Linked DNA regions of Sus scrofa. The protein of the gene in region 2 purifies or fractionates together with the protein of the main gene of each other region. This does not show direct contact. Links are inferred from orthologs where the notes say so. Each region holds a gene or a part of one and is shown on either strand. Other genes may lie near its edges. The genes, in order: MED12, CDK19 and MED12L.

The links.
Region 1: the proteins of CDK19 (region 2) and MED12 purify together in Homo sapiens (affinity purification with mass spectrometry; 10 studies listed by BioGRID and IntAct, counting the BioPlex papers as one, with this or other methods). This does not show direct contact. The link is inferred for Sus scrofa from reciprocal best matches to the Homo sapiens genes CDK19 and MED12.
Region 3: the proteins of CDK19 (region 2) and MED12L purify together in Homo sapiens (affinity purification with mass spectrometry; 3 studies listed by BioGRID and IntAct, counting the BioPlex papers as one, with this or other methods). This does not show direct contact. The link is inferred for Sus scrofa from reciprocal best matches to the Homo sapiens genes CDK19 and MED12L.

What each region holds. Positions count from the first base shown.
Region 1 is NC_010461.5:57,156,529-57,162,073, reverse strand, and holds part of MED12 (mediator of RNA polymerase II transcription subunit 12), read right to left. Parts: intron 5,456-5,545; coding exon 5,226-5,455; intron 4,507-5,225; coding exon 4,426-4,506; intron 4,294-4,425; coding exon 4,123-4,293; intron 3,920-4,122; coding exon 3,775-3,919; intron 3,609-3,774; coding exon 3,558-3,608; intron 3,231-3,557; coding exon 3,112-3,230; intron 2,924-3,111; coding exon 2,780-2,923; intron 1,805-2,779; coding exon 1,641-1,804; intron 1,430-1,640; coding exon 1,298-1,429; intron 853-1,297; coding exon 625-852; intron 448-624; coding exon 303-447; intron 149-302; coding exon 28-148; intron 1-27. UniProt on the Homo sapiens protein: Component of the Mediator complex, a coactivator involved in the regulated transcription of nearly all RNA polymerase II-dependent genes.
Region 2 is NC_010443.5:76,597,010-76,602,554, forward strand, and holds part of CDK19 (cyclin-dependent kinase 19), read right to left. Parts: intron 2,647-5,545; coding exon 2,574-2,646; intron 2,155-2,573; coding exon 2,057-2,154; exon of another isoform or gene 2,000-2,056; intron 1,304-1,999; coding exon 1,225-1,303; intron 439-1,224; coding exon 172-438; intron 1-171.
Region 3 is NC_010455.5:91,571,472-91,577,016, reverse strand, and holds part of MED12L (mediator of RNA polymerase II transcription subunit 12-like protein), read right to left. Parts: intron 5,072-5,545; exon of another isoform or gene 4,822-5,071; intron 4,742-4,821; coding exon 4,580-4,741; intron 2,798-4,579; coding exon 2,435-2,797; intron 590-2,434; coding exon 433-589; intron 1-432. UniProt on the Homo sapiens protein: May be a component of the Mediator complex, a coactivator involved in the regulated transcription of nearly all RNA polymerase II-dependent genes.

The DNA.
Region 1 (5,545 bases), on a different chromosome or scaffold from region 2:
TTCTAGGGTTACGGATTGGGAGTTCACCAGCATTAAGGAGCGAAGGGATGGCTGCACAGCGAATCAGGTCCTCCAGGAGCAAACACTGCCGAGCGATGAGGATGGCAACAAAAGTAGCCAGGGAGTCATGAAAAGACAGGTCACTGACCTGTAAGGAAAAAGACACCAGGACTCAGCGTGGAGGGAGGGTGCCTACTCAGAGCGCTTGGCCTCCACTCTGCAAAAACTGTCCCTCCGCTCACTTGACTACTGGGAGCAGCCCTCTGCCCGGTGCCCCAGTGTGCCCCCACCCCCAGTCTCACATCTACATTGCAGAGGAGATCGTTGAAACCACAAGTGCCATTGTTAGAGGAACAGCACAAGGCCTTAAGCACTCCCAGCCACTCTGCACTCAGAGACTTGCAATAGCCGGTCAACTCTGCACACAGGATTGCGATGTCATTCACCCTGGGGAAAAGTACAAATGCCCTCAGGAAAGACCTTGTTCTGGCAAAACCTCAGACTCATTAACTTTGCATCTCCACCCTAGCCAAAACCAAGGTTGCGGTACCTCCCGGACATCTCATCCCTCCCAATATCAGGCGGGAGCGTGGTGCCCAAGTTGTCACTCCGTACGCCCCATACCTATCGGGATCATGGTGCCCCACACAGACGTGCATAAGGGCATTGCAGACAAAGCTGTAGCGGTTAGCAGGGTTCTCACTAAGACTCTTGCCTAGCCCCGTGTAGGTGAAGGTGTGAGCGGCAGGGTTCTCCAGGGTGTCTATCATGAACTCGGGTGCCCAGCGCATGTTAGATTCTGACGGCTCCACATTGCAGTAGATGGTGTTCTTCACTTTGGAGCAGAAATCGCTGCAGGGGTGGGGGAAAGGAGAGAGCAGGGTTGAGGAAGGGCTGGTGAGCTAGACGGTTGGTCAGGGAAGGGGAGAAAAGAAAAATAAAAGGAGAAAGTGAGGGACCAGGCGCCTTAGGGCCAGAAAAAGGGATATGGGACAAAGCAGACGGACTGGGCAGGAAAGGAACCCAGTGAGAATAAGGCCCAGGGGCCTCTGGAGGTGGTGGTGGTGGGGAGTCGGGGCAGGGAGGAGCGTAGGCCCCACAGACACAGGCTGGAGGAAAGGCTGATGAGGAAAGAGGCCTGCTCTCAGGAAGCAAGAACACGCAGACGACACAGTCCCCCAAAGACTCTGCAGAGACAGCAGGGTCCTGGGCTGTGCTCTGCTCCTGAGTTGGGCAGTAACGGGAAGGAGATGGGATGAGATCCCACTCTCTACCCCTTACCTTCCACCTCTCTTACCTGAAGAGCTCCCCAAATTTGCTCTTTAAATGGCTACAGGAGGTGTACAGATCATAGAGATAAGCAAGGATACAGCGTTCTGCGGAGGAGCCATCAGACCGGTTCATCCCATGCTTGACGACGCCACACAGCCTGTTGCGAGGGGGCAAGGTCAGGAAGTGCACCCGGAGCAATGGGGGCCGGGATGCCAAGATTCCTGTCCCTTGGCAATACTCTCCCCTCCCCGCCTGAATGGCACGCACTTCCTTATAGTGAGAGCCAGCCCCACACGTTCTTCGCAGGCCACTTCCACTGGCCTTCACCAGGGCCCTGAGGGTTTTGGTTATTTGGAAGCCCTGCTTACCCCTCAAAGACCTGAGCCATCTGGTCCTGGTTGAGGATGAGGCAGGCGTGATAGTGCCGCAGGACAGCCACGATGCATAGGCACAGGCTGGTGGTGTAGCTGCCCACCAGATCCGAGGATTTGAGGAGCAACTCGGCCTCAACTACACTCAGTTCATTCAGTAGCTAGCAGAGAGAGTAGGGGTTGAGGGATGAGAAAAGGCCTTGGGTATTATACATAACCCCCCTTTCTGTGAGAAAACTGGAGCCCCTTACTACTGGAGCTGCCTCAGCATGGAAGGGCCCTGGAGCATATGTCACCGTCCTTTATTAGTGACACAAGCTAAAATATCTTTTTTTTTTTTTTTTTGTCTATTTGCCTTTTCTAGGGCCACTCCCGCGGCATACGGAGGTTTCCAGGCTAGGGGTCTAATCGGAGCTGTAGCCACCGGCCTAACCAGAGCCACAGCAATGCGGGATCCGAGCCACGTCTGCAACCTATGCCACAGCTCATGGCAACGCTGGATCCTTAACCCACTGAGCAAGGCCAGGGACCGAACCCGTGTCCTCATGGTTCCTAGTTGGATTCGTTAACCACTGAGCCACAACGGGAAGTCCTTTTTTTTTTTTTTTTTTTTTTTTTTTAATAGGGCTGCACCCGTGGCGTATGGAGGTTCCCAGGCTAGGGGTCGAGTCGGAGCTACAGCTGCCGGCCTACACCACAGCCACAGCAATGCCAGATCTGAGCCGCATCTGCGATCTACACCACAGCTCATGGAAACGCCAGATCCTTAACCCACTGAGCGAAGCCAGGGATCGAACCTGCGTCCTCATGGATGCTGGTCAGAGTCACTTCTGCTGAACCACAAGAGGAACTCCCACAGCAATAACCTAACCAGTCCCCAGGATGCAATCCTCTGAACTCCACAGTGGGAGGACAATCTGTGCCCAGTGCTCTAATCTGTCTCTCGGGCCTCCCCAGGGAGCACTTGAGTCTCTATTCCTGCTGGCTTATCTCAGGGGCCATGGGCCACTCCCCCCATGCTAGTCTTCCAGTCCCTCCAAATCGCCTGGGACACTGGCTTGAGCCTCTGCTCTTGTTCCTCTGACCCTGTACAGCACAAACTCCTTCCTCCGCCCCCATCCCCCCAACTTCCCCACCTGAATGGCAAAGTCGATGAGGCCACTGATGCTGAGTGAATATTCCATGAGGTCGAAGATGAACTGCACATGCTGCACCAGAGGCAAGTGGTACGACATGCCAAGGGCAAAGCTTGTGATCTGCTCCAGAACATTCCGGGAGACCTAAGGGCAGTGGGAGTGAGATGGGAGTGGAGCCAAGTGGGAAGAACCAGGGAAGCAGGAAAAGGATGCTAGTAGACAGGGATGCGACCGGGAGGCTTAGTCTGCTTGGGGGTGGAAAAAAAGATCAGAAGGAAAGGAAGACGGGACAGGATGCCAGAACATGGGGAGGGGACTGGACTTAGGCCCACCTGAGCTGTGACCTGGTGTTGATCATAATGCGAAAGGTGCTGGAACTTAGCAAAGATATCCTCGGCAGTGGGGAAGGCTTCAGGCCGGTTGCGTCGCCGCTTCTGCCCATCCTCCCCACCTGAGGGGACAGTTGAAGAGGACCAGTCAGGACAGGGGATGTAACTAGGTGACTGGGAGTGGGGAGGGGGGTACGGAGAGAAGGCTATGGGTGGGGAGGGAAAGGGGAAGGACGGGAGGGTGGGAGAGAGGGAAGGAAGGAAGAGGGAAGAGGTGAAGGGAGGCTCAAGGAAGGGGTGGGGGAGGGCTGAAGGGAAGGGGACAGTGAAGCACAGGTTTGGAGGACCACAGACTATGTGGACCTTAGAGGAATACGTACAGGGAGGTGCTAGGTTGAGGGAGGGAAGGGAGAGGGAGGGCGGGCAGTATGGGGCTTACTGTGAGGTACCTAAGAATGTCAGGTCTCCAGGATTCAGAGGCACAATAGGAGCAAGCTGGTCTGCAGAGGGGGGGAATGAGGGGGGAAGTTTCAAAAGGACTAGAGCTCTCAGGAGACTCCAAGAGACAGGACATCGGGACATGACTGGGAGTTCCCTATGCTGGGGAAGGGGAGACTGACTAGGGCACTCTTTGGGGGAGATCTGTTTAAGGCACCTCAAACCCACCAGTTTCCGCTGTCCCCTTGCGGTTCAGAACTTTCAGGATATCCTTGGTAATTTTCTTGATGGCATGGCGGGCATCATCTCGCTGCTTTCCCACCCCAAACAGTACGACCAACCGCTGGTTGCACTCATGGCTGCATGACTCCTCCTGCATCCCAGCGGCACCATCAGACTCCGGCACGAACTGCTCTCCCTCCTCTTAAAAAGCATGCTCCACGCCCCTCAGCATCCCAGTGCTCAAGCCCTGCCCAGCATACCACACCCTCAAGAACAGCTCCAACCCCATGGCACAGTCCTTGGACAGAAACCTGGGCTCAGAACAGAGGGTCACAAAGTGGTGGGGAACGGTACCTGGGGGATGGGAAAGTGCGTGGCATATTGCACATGCCGTGGCTGGTCATAAAGAACCCCAAGGGTCCCTTCTAGCTTCTCCTTGGGTGGGGGCTTCACCTCCTTCTCAACATCTGGTTTCTCAGGGGACGGACTGCCCTTCCCCTCACAGGGCATAGTAGGGGAGAACAACTACGAGAAAGGCGAAAGGGCAGAACGGTTAGAGGAAGACAAAACGGAAGAGGGGGCATAAAGAAACTCCCCAAAGTGGCACAGTGGGAGGTGTCTGGGAGCTGGATTCTTCCACACCAGGATATAACTTACTGAGAAATCAGGCTTCTCCATGTCCTCAAAGATCACACTGGAGTTATGGTCGATATCCATAGACTCTGAGAGCCCTGGATCCTGAGGGCAGAGAACAGAAGCAGAGTCGCATTAGCCCCAAGGAGCTGCTCCCCACCATCCAGAAAAGTCGACTCAGAAGTTGGAGACAGGACACCATACTGGGAAGAGCACAAGATCCACATCCAAGCCTTGACTGATCACTTAGCCCCCATAGGCCTTGGTTTCATTTAGCGTTATTTTACTTTTTTTATTTTATGATTTTTATTTTTTCCATTACAGTTGATTTACTCATTCAGCTTTAAAATGAGAATAACAGGAGTTCCCGTTGTAGCTCAGCAGTAACAAACCCAGCTAGTATCCATAAGGATGCAGGTTCGATCCCTGGCCTTGCTTGGTGGGTTAAGGATCCAGTGTTGCCATGAGCTGTGGTGTAGGTCACAGACGCAGCTTGGATCCCGTGGTGCTGTGGCTGTGGCCTAGGCCAGCAGCTGTAGCTCTGATTTGACCCCTAGCCTGGGAACCTCCGTATGCTTTGGGTGTGGCCCTAAAAAAAAAAAAGACAAAAAAATGATAACAATACCTCAACGAGGCAGTTGTGAGGATCAAATAATAATAATAATAATAATAAAATGATGTGAGAGTGCTTGGTAAATAAACTATGAAGCGCTAAGCAAATCCTACCCTCATCACTGGGTAAAGGATCCTCAGATTACTTCAGGAGCCAGGAAGAGGGGACTGTACAGGAAGAAACAATCTAGGGTGAGGAAAAGCCAGCTCACCTCCAGCTTGCTGCTGCTGCTGCCCTCAGCCTCCTTGCGCTCAGGGTCATCAGCAGGGTCATCAAAGGGAGAGGGAGGCCGGGGACCAGGGGCTCCAAAGGCAAGGTCCCCTCGGGAGATGAGGGTGCAAGTGTACATGTTGTGGGAGAAAACATCGTGTCGAATCAGTTCACAGAAGAGCAGTACCAAGTTAAAGAATTCCACCCGCTCACTCTCACTTCGGGGGTCCGCTGGAGGGAGGGAATGAGAAAAGATGAGTAAGGGAGCATGGAAGACATGGGCAGAAAGCGAGAGGGACACATCTAAGGTAAGATGCTCCT
Region 2 (5,545 bases):
AAGAGTCTTCCATTTTCTACGGCTCTTCAGAGAGTCTTTCTATTTGCTAGACGAGATACTGCCTGATACATGAATCACTGAATAAAGCCAATAAGACCTTTAAAATTTACTCAGTTGAATTTTCCTTTTTAACAGTATGAACATTAAAGAGTATAAAATCTGGGGAGGTACCTGATAATCTGACGGCATAACAGGCCCGCCTGAGTTTGTGCCTGAAGGCCCTAGCCGCGGTTTCTTGTTTGGAGGCACCTGATTAAGGCCGGAGTCCTGACTGTGCTGCAGCCCTGCCCCGGCACCCCCGGCCCCGGCCCCAGCCCCTCCTGCCGTCCCGTTGGTCTGGGTGCTGTTCTGCTGCTGTGGGGGTGCCTGTGGGGGGGCTGCTGCCTGCTGTGGAGGGGCTGTGGGCTGCTGATGTTGGTTCTGCTGCTGTTGCTGATTCTTATAAAGAGGAAAAAAAAAGTAAGCTTGGTATGGAACTAAATTAACTCTACCATTATATGATATGATGAGCAACTGGGGAGTGATCTCTGTGGGACACTATAGTGACTGGACCGACCAGAGAATGGAGCGGCCAAGGAATACAGCATCCTCCAAAGTCAAAGTGCTGAGCCCTGAACAGGACTCATTCTCTAAAGTTCATTTAGATTGCATAGTAATCCTCCAAACCAGTCACAGATATCCCACTGAAGGCCCACGGGGACAGAGGAAATAGACAGCAACTCATTAAAATAGCTAGAATAGTCTTTTCAATCAATTTGGAAAAGTAGGGCTGTGTGGAGTGAAGTCAGTTACGATCAAAGGACTGAATGATGCTTTAAAAGCAGCCTGCGTAAAGTGATGGTAATGACACCGAACAAAACAAACAAAAAAGGCAAAAATTAAGAACCAGAGAATGGGAGTTCCCACTGTGGCACAACGAGTTAAGAATCCGACTGCAGTGGCTCAGGTTGCTGGGGAGGCACAGGTTCGATCCCAGGCCTGGTGCAGTGGGTTAAAGGACCTGGATTCAGTCCCTGGCCCAGGAACTTCCGTATGTCGTGGGTGTGGCCATAAAAAAAAAAAATCAGGGAATAAAATATGTATAAAGCAAATCTGGAATTTCATTTATCTGTGAAAGAATCTTTCAAATGGCAAAGTACATCTACAATAAAGTAAATACATAATTAAATAAAAGGTAGTTTTATAGGAATTATTAGATTACCCTTCCCTTAGTATAGTTTATACCTTGTCACCTTTCTCTTCAGGCTCATCTTCATTAAGGAATTCTCGTTTGGGATATGGAATCTGGCAGCCAGCAAACACACTAAAAATCATTTAAAAAAAAAAAATCATGTCATGACCTAAAATCTACACTTATCATTGACCTTGTTAATTTAAAATTGTACTTTTCCCCCCTTATTTCCTACTCTTCATCTGTGGCTGGTATTGGCCTCTCAACATAATTTAAGCAATAAGAAAAGGACAATTTGTCGTCTAAGTTTTACACTAGTTCCACTTTCAATGGCAAATCTTAGCTGCGATTATTAGCTAGTTGACATGTAAGACACAGAACTTTCTCCATTCACACTTCATCAGGACTGAAAATAACTAAATGTGCATTTGCTTCAACAATGAAAATAATTTTTTTGTCCCTCAGGAAAAGCTGCACCTCTAATAAATCCAAGCACAATGTATACATGTGGGTGTAACAAGGCTGAGGAAATGGAGGGGTTTGGCAGCACAGCAGATAACACAGAATTTTTAAATTTCAGTTCCCTACATTGGTTTGGTGTACACTGTGCTGGCTGAGCCGTCTGTGAAAGTCCCATCTGTCTTAGCTTTAGTTTTTATCTGTAAAACTGATTAATGGTCATTCCTAAAATACTTGCTTTCATTCACACCTCCCTACAGCTTTGCCTGTGTCAAAACACAGAATCTGTCTCTTGACTACTTTTTCTCTGAGGTAGTATTAACGAAGAAAGTAAAATACTTTAGTAACAAGAGCGTCTCTTGCTTTCAGCCACCATCCAACATCTTCACCTCGGAGCCAAGCACGCAGAAAAGGAAGGATACATACTCTAATGTCGGCAAGGGGTCCTCCTGAAAATAGGGATCCTGCAGAGCCTGCTCTGAGGTAATTCTCTTGGTTGGATCCATAGTGAGGAGTTTCTGAAGCTAGAATAATACGTAAGAAATTGATAGTACGTGCAAAGTTTGTTTACAAGTCCATGTTTTGACTTTTGTGTTAATGTCTAACAGAATTAATATCAAACACCATTTTGTACAGCTCACGGCAACATTAATGTGAAACTGGCAGAAATCATTAGAAGACACACATTTACATGAAATTGGCACTTATCGTTAATATTGAAGCCCTTTTAGAATTTAATGATTTTTATGCTGATAAACCATTAGCAAAAATTAAGGCTAAAAATTAAGGGTGACATCTCAAAAGACTTAATTTTGCTCCAATATCCTCCTCTTTCTTTTCTTTGTAAAGAGGAGGAAAAGCTGGGACAATCCCACAGTAAGGGGGGGTGGGGTGAGGGCTGTGCTAAGGATCCTACTTCCCAGTCTGGGAGAGGCGCACCTACCAAGAGGAACACTTTGCTGTCAGGCTTGACCTTGTGTTTCTCCATGTACTTTATGAGGCTACTGTTGGCGTATCTGCAAAGGCATGACAATCACACATTATTGAGAACACTCACACAATTTACTTTCTTTTCTTTTTTTTTTTTTTTTTTTTTTTTTTTTTGGCTTTTTAGGGCCACATGTGTGGCTTATGCAAGTTCCCCAGACTAGGGCTTGAATCAGAGCTGCAGCTGCAGGCCTACACCACAGCCACAGCCACGCAGGATCCAAGCCACATCTGTGACCTACACCACAGCTCACGGCAACACCAGATCCCTAACCCACTGAGCGAGGCCAGGGATTGAACCCGCATCCTCATGGATACTAGTCAGGTTCATTACCGCTGAGCCACAATAGGAACTCCACAATTTACATTTTTAATGGAAAATGCCAGGATGGTTTTCCTGTAAGGTATGTGTTAATTTAAGCTGTTGATTTTACCAATGAGAAAAGAACAGGTAACCAAATGTTGGTAAATATGTGAAGAAATAATTGCTACACACTGCATGTAAACGTTTCTATTGTTCCAATCACTTTGGAAAATAAGTATGCATTAACCACTAGAGGTGAAAATATGAATATCTTATGACTCAGCAATTCCCTTCCTAGGTAGATACTCTCTATCAGATATGGTATAGAGTGAGTAAATGGGTATTCATTTTATTGTTCTAAATAGGCTACATATTTCAAGCATATATAATTCTTTCCTATATATAAAACATTTCCAAATAAAAAGATCAAAAAACAGTAGTTTATATTTTTGGTTAAAAAACCCTTAGGGAATATAGAAAAATATTAAGAAAAAATTGAAATCACTCATTTAATCAAGCTATTCAGCAATAAAGAAAACACTGTCAAGGGTCTGATCATTTTCCTTTGGCATTTTTTTTCTAGACATAGATATATATATGATATAAATACGGAGGCATTTTTGTTTCATTCTTATAAAATTAGAAACATACCATATAAATTGTCCTAATTTTTTTAATTTACTGTTGTTTTATAAAAGTTTTTCCTTGCCAAATGGTCTTTCAACTTATTATTTGTAGTAGCTGTATATTTTTTACTGTTACTAATGATGTTTGTTTCACAAAAGTTACAAAATGCAGGTCCTTGTAGGTAAATCTGGTAACATGATAGGGAGAGAGAACTACATGGCAGTGAGAATCAGAGACCCCCTACCAGACACTGACTCAGTCATTTACCAGTTGTGTGATCTTGGGCAGTTAGTTAAGCTCTGTGAAAGCCTTAAGTGCCTCATTTTAGCTGTGTGTGGCTGCTTTATTGCTTTCTTCAGATAAATTCTTAGAATTATTAGGTCAAAGGATATGTACATTTCAAAAGCCTTTTATGTGCTTGAGAACCTTGCCACACAAACCTGGCCCTCAGACCAGCAACATGGAACCTGAGAGCCTGCACCAGGAATGCAGATTCTTAGGCCCTATCCCAGATTCTGGATCACAATCTGCATTTTTCTTAATAGAAATTTATTTCCTCACAATTCTGGAGTCTAGGATCTGAGATCATCAAGTTGAAGGCAGGGTTGGTTTCTTTCTTCTTTTTTTTTTTTTTTTTGTCTTTTGTCCTTTTCAGGGCCACATCCACGGCATATGGAGGTTCCCAGGCTAGGGGTCTAATCGGAGCTGTAGCTGCTGGCCTATGCCAGAGCCACAGCAATGCCAGATCCAAGCCTTGTCTGCAACCTACACCACAGTCATGGCAATGCCAGATCCTTAACCCACTGAGCAAGGCCAGGGATCGAACCCACAACCTCGTGGTTCCTAGTTGGACTTGTTTCCACTGTGCCACAATGGGAACTCCCACAATCTGTATTTTTAACAAGGTCTCTAGGTGATCTGTAGGTACATCACAGTTTGAGAAGCATTCATTCTCAGCAGTAGCATATAAAGTAAATATGCCAACATTAGGTATTTTATTTAAAAAAAAAAAAAAACTCTGTGGGAGTTTCCGTTGTGACTCAGCAGGAATGAATCTGACTAGTATCCATGAGGATGCAGGTTCAATCCCTGGTCTCGCTCAGTGGGTTAAGGATTCAGCGTTGCCATGAGCTGAAGTACAGGTCACAAACACAGCCTGGATCTGGCAATGCTGTGGCTGTGGTGTAGACTAGTGGTTACAACTCCAATTTGACTTCTAGCGTGGGAACCTCCATATGCCAAGGGTACAGCCCTAAAAAGACTAAATTAAAAAAATAAATTTTTTTTAAATTAAAAAAATCTGGAGTTCCCGTCATGGCGCAGTGGTTAACGAATCCGACTAGGAACCATGAGGTTGCGGGTTCGGTCCCTGCCCTTGCTCAGTGGGTTAACGATCCGGCGTTGCCGTAAGCTGTGGTGTAGGTTGCAGACGTGGCTCGGATCCCGAGTTGCTGTGGCTCTGGCGTAGGCCGGTGGCTACAGCTCCGATTCGACCCCTAGCCTGGGAACCTCCATATGCCGCGGGAGCGGCCCAAGAAATAACAACAACAACAACAACAACAAAAAGACAAAAGACCAAAAAAAAAAAAAAATCTCTGCCACATGTGAAAAAAAATTTTTTTTCCTCCAATACCAGGAACATTTTTATTGGCAAGGTAGCCATTAAGTTTGGCAATGGAAAGAAACTTTAAAGTTTATGTAGAAATGGAGTCTCTCTACATGGCTTTGGTCTTTATGTTGAATCAGCTGATTACTGGGTTAACTCAAGATTCTAAGTTAGTTGTTTCTATCATAATATAAAATGTCTTGAAGTTGAGAAATCCTATTACTCAATTCCCATTGTGGTTGTTTCTTCTTATTCCTAGTATTCAAGTTAAGATGAATTATTTGTCATTTTCTGAATCATTCCCTTCCAGATTTGCTATAGTTTAGGAGCTGAACAGTTTTCAAAGTAATTCAAAGTCTCTATATATTATAAAGCATCTTATCAGATCATG
Region 3 (5,545 bases), on a different chromosome or scaffold from region 2:
ATCTATTTGCTGAGCCAGATTTCTGAGCTCCTTCATGGTATAAACAATTTAAAATCCATAACATGAGGAAACAATAAAAGACACTGCAATATTGTCTAATCTTTTAAAACACTGATAAGAATTATATCTGATAAGAGCATACACCAATTTCATGACATAATACTTTTATCAACTTCATATCTTACAGCTTAGATTTTCATCAGTGGCTAATTTCCTTTGAACATTGGGTGAAGATTCCAAAATCAGCACATAAACTAGTCACTGAAACCTTATTTTAGAGGAAGAAAAAAAAGCATCTTGAGTGGAGAGAATGATAGAAAGGCCTACTGAGCACCCAGCTCTTGAAATGGGGAGGTTTTGGGTTAAAAGCAAAGAGAACCCCAAGCTACTTCTCCTCTTGGAGTCTCCATACTTGGCCCTCTCATCACATACCTGGAGGAAGAGATTGGTTCTGAAGGAAAAAGCCAGGCTGCTGGGGCTGACCCATGAGGTTATAGCCCCACAAGGCGGACTGCGGGTGATGCATCATCTGGGAGGAAATAGGTGAGTAATTGGGAGGCACTCGGTATATGCCGCTCTGTGGATACTCCTTCAACATAAATCGGGAAGAAAAAAAAAAAATTACTTAACACCATGCACCTCATAGAGAATTAATATGAATTCTTCCTGTCACATTATTTGAGAAAGCTCCTATCCCAGCAGACAAGGCTATTTTATTTTGACAAACGGGAAGACAGAGGGCAAGAGAACCAACATATTCTTTGCAAAACACTCAGTCAAGTTAAAACTCTCCCTTGACTTAAAAGGCACTTGGCTACAGTGTGGGAAGATGGAACAGGATCTTTTCTGTGTTTAACATACTTAAAATACTAAAAGCACATTTAGAACACCAAGAGTGACCATCACCCACAACCAAAAAAGCATCTTCATTTGCTGAGTCTCCCGATCACTTCATCTTAGAAGGTTTCTGATAACTAGGACCTGGATGAAAATTAGCCAGGAAGGCCCACAGCACTTCCAAACAGGTCTCCGGCCTAGACAGTGTCTTAGTTACGCTTTTACAGACAGCACTCCAAAGACTCCCCTTCTATCCTGTTCCCCTGTCTCCTCATCACACCTCTTGCCCAGGGCTTTCTCTTCTTTAGAGTAGCCGCAAAGTCTGTAAGGATCACACCTGAATGTCTCAATTCCCCTACTGTCCCACCTTCTCTAGTCTAGCCCTGAAGCATGAAGGAAGTTCCCTGCAATATATCCAATTAAAATTTCCTCCTACTGCTAAAAAAAAAATAGGTGAGCAACAATCATTAGCTATGATGACTGAATGACAAGTTGAGACTATTTATTTTACTGCACAACAAAACCACTCTTAATTTTTAGAAAAATGTCACAAAGACCCTCTCGAGTATTTTTCTAGTGAATTTAATTGGAAAAATATTTTACACATAAATTCTAGAAAGTTATTTCTCAATTTCTCTTAGATTTCTGTCATCAAGAAAACATTGTTCTTGGTAAGGAAGGCTAACAGGGAAACAAGAAGTAAAACTATTTTAAATTACATTTATTTTTGAGTTCCCTGTGACCTAGCAGGTTAAGGATCCAGCATTGTCATGCGTAGCCTCCCCCCAAAAAAAGGAAACAAAAAACTGTTTATCTCTCATAAAGTCTGAAAATGTGGTAAAGAGATAGAATATAGAGGAGAGTAAGAGGGAATGGTAAACTATGACATCTCAGAAACGTCCTACTGAATACATTAGATAGGTCTTTGTCTAGGGAAAGCAAACAGTTTTTTATGATAATTTACTATTGATATCAACTGCCCAAAATACAAAAAATATTTTAGACATTTCTCATAATAAAAATACGTAAAGGGGTAGGAGGGATGGACTGGGGGTTTGGGATTGGCATATGTACACGGAGGTATATGGAATGACTGGCCAGTGACACACTACAGAGAACCCTACACAATATTCTGTGATAATCTATGTGGGGAAAGAATCTCAGAAAGAATGAACGTGTGTATACGTATAACTGAATCACTTTGTTAGTATAGCAGAAATTATCCTAACATGTAAATCAACAATAAAATTTTTAAAAATGAGAAAAAACATGTAAGAGGATGAGATTTCATAGGTCAAAAAATTCAAGTTTCAAATTTGAGAAATTGAGGCAGTGAGATATTAAATAAATATTATTCACAATCAAAGCCTAAAGTTAAAGTTGTGAAAAGTAGGAGGAAAAATCAAAAGCTAGGATCCTATTGGCTGTGACAAGTAGCTGTTGGTTGCTGGTCTGTTAATTCCAGCTGAGCTTTGTTAGGATAACTGACAAACAGGCTTATACTGCAATGAGGAGTGTTGCTTAGGGACGTAATTCAGGAACCAGTAAATCTACAAGAAGTGACTGCACCCAAGATCCCCTAACTTCCCGTACTCACATCAACTCTGGAGCTGGATTTCGTCTTGCGCTTCCTTCCTTTTGTCTTCTTCTCTTCATCTGTTGCGGTTTTTCCCTGATCTGATAGCTCAGCTGATTTCCTCTCTGGTTCCTGAGAGATGGGAGATGTGGGCTCTTCTTCTTCCTCCTCGGGAGGCAGGGGCAGCGGCTCGAGGTAGTAACTTCGGGGCTTGGGCATGGGGTGCGTGTGATACAGAAGGAGGTGATGCTGCTCCTCGTACTTGACCACCTTCCGGTCCATGCGGACAGTTCCAAACCAGGCCCAGGACAGAGGGGCTGGGTTCTTCTGACCCTCAAACAAATCCCACGGGGACACCTTCTGTTTCGTAGAGACCTGGAGACCCTGTGGTGAAATGAGGCGCTGTGACCACACCCTCAGACCTTTTTCAGATTCAGAGGACATTCTGGCTTGGGCAGGGGGCAGGGGGCTTAGAGAACCCAGCACACAGCAGAAAGGCTACCTAATGAGTCCCTGAGAGCAGCAGCTAGAATCCAGACCCTTAAGTCCAGTTATACCACAAGGCAGTCTGGTCCTTTCTACCACAAGGCAGTCTGTTCAGGCTGTAATACCAGACAGTCAAGTAATTTTACTGTAAATGATATTTTTTTCCAGTTAGATTTTTTTGGCAAAAAAAAAAAAAAAAAAAAAATCTAAAAAAACACTACAAAGTTGATCTTACTGTACTAAATCAAAAACCGTTGGAATTTATTATGTTTTTAAGATAAAACAAAACTTGGGAGTCAAGTTAGAGTCCACCTCTAGTTGGGCTCATATTAACTTCAATCCAAACATGTATAGACTTGATTCAGTACAGGTCCCTTTCATGTCCTTAATTAGGCAGTCTCTGATGAGTTAAGTAATATTCTATAGAACTAACTTGTACCAACAGGTACACATAAGGCCCTTCAATTCAAGCTTATCTCTACTGTGTTTAGAAGAGCAAATGTTTTTCTGTTTCTGAAAACAAAAGTGTCTTATTTTTAATATTAATTGGTGCTTGCACTGGCATAGTAATTTGAGCAAATAACTGCTCAAAGCCTTCCATATGAACGCTCCCATTTCCTAACCATACACACTCTTCCACTCACCCACATTTTGACTGTTTCTTAGTATCTTTCTTGACATTACACCTCTTTCCTGGGTGCCAAGACCACATGTCCGCATGGCTTCCAGATGCGTCACCACTGGAGAGCCCACTGACACTGCAAACTCAACTTGCCCCTGACTCTAGCTTTATCCTCTCTCCACAACTATATGGTTATCAGCACTCAGGGCGCTCCAATTACTCCAGCACTGCATTTGCCTACGAGACACAGTCTCTCATGCCTTTGCAAAACACTTCCCTGTACCTGTATCACACTTTGCCCTACCTCCTGGCTAATTCTTAAACTTCCAAAATTATTCAAGTGTCGGTCTTCCTGAGGATCTGGCTCTGACGACCTACCCCTCATCTGAGTGTGATGGCCTCTTCCCGTTGTCCCCTAGCACTCCATACCAGGACACACAAACCTCACTGGAGTGTAACTGTCTATCTACTTCCCCTTAAGGGTAGGAGCTCTGTCTTACATCTCTGTGATTTCAGACACCTGTGGTTGCTCAATGTTCCCTGAAAGAATAGCAGACCATTTTCCTTGTGTTTTAGAGAAACTTGTTTAATATCATATATAAATCAAGTGTTCATTCAATATTGTTTGATAAGAAAATAAGGTGCTATCACTTTAAAAAGAATTGTTTACTCAAAACAGCTTACAAGACATAAGAATAAGAATTTTCTCATTCACTAAATGTATTCTATTTCCAGTTCTGCAGTAAAATCAAACGTGATCTTCCGTATTTCTTTTATACTAAGCTTGTACTTAGTTTTCCCGTGTTGGGCTTTAGAAATTCACTTAAACTCAGGGAAAGTTTTAAATGAAGATCTTCAAAGATCTGACCTATTTGTATAATAATGTCAATGACCACTGCATTCAAATGACAAGGATATGTTTTAAAAAATCAAGAAATAATAAACTTAAGATGTTTTATATGTCCTGTAGGAAGACAAGGAAACGTATTTTGTCTTTTTTTAAGTTCATGTATTTATATATATATATATATATATGAGAAACAAACATTTACTCTTGCCTGTTTTTTATCTATAGAGTCAAATCCAGCAATTTTGTTTCCCTTCGTGTCAATCAAGGAACCCATAGGTTCACAAGTGATAACATCACATGTCTGTTTTGGCAAAGGCAGCAACTGTCGAACTTTGTCAATACTTTCTGACCGCTTGTCTCCCAGTTCTTTCTAAAAAAAAGAAAAAGAGAGAGAGAAGTGGAACAGAAATTATAATGAAGGTAAAAGTTATAAGGAAGTTCCCCTGTGAAGCATTTCCTTTTTTTATAGCTGGAATGTTCTTTAACCTTAAACATGGTCTATGGCGCAGCTCTCATTGACAGTTTGTGAGTGTGTTTCACTTCTTCTATTTAAGTAGAAAATAGAACATGTATAAAGACCCTCTTATTACACAACAAACATCACAGTGCTGAAATGACAAAAATCCAGAGTAGTATTTGCAACCAGAAGGCAGGAGCTGCAGCATGGAACACGTTCTCCAATCCAGGGTCAGACTACAAGGTAACCATTGGTTATTTTATTAGTAAGGTCATCAGATATCTTGATTTCTTTTCTGAATTGTTTATTTACAGTTTATTTCAAAAACTGTGTTATTTCAAAAATTGTCAAAAAAGTGCCTAGTCAAATGAATCGAATCCAGAAATATCAATGCAAATGTGTATTTTTCAACTGCATGTTGCCAGTCTAAGAACAAATTTATCCTAAATCTAATGTTAGTATTTTGCTTATAGATTTGATAATGGATTTCTCAAGTTCCTTAAAAAATTGTGTATGTTTTATGAAATTTTTTTTAAGAAAAATCTTCAATCTTCAGCTATATATATACTTACAACTTTTGGGTACTGGGAAGCTGAAGTTAAGCAGATAGCAAAATAATTACATTGTATTAAGTTGAATGCAATAAATAGCACCTGATTTAAAGAGTGATAAAAAAGACAATATGCACTAGATAACAAACCACATACAACAGAAGCT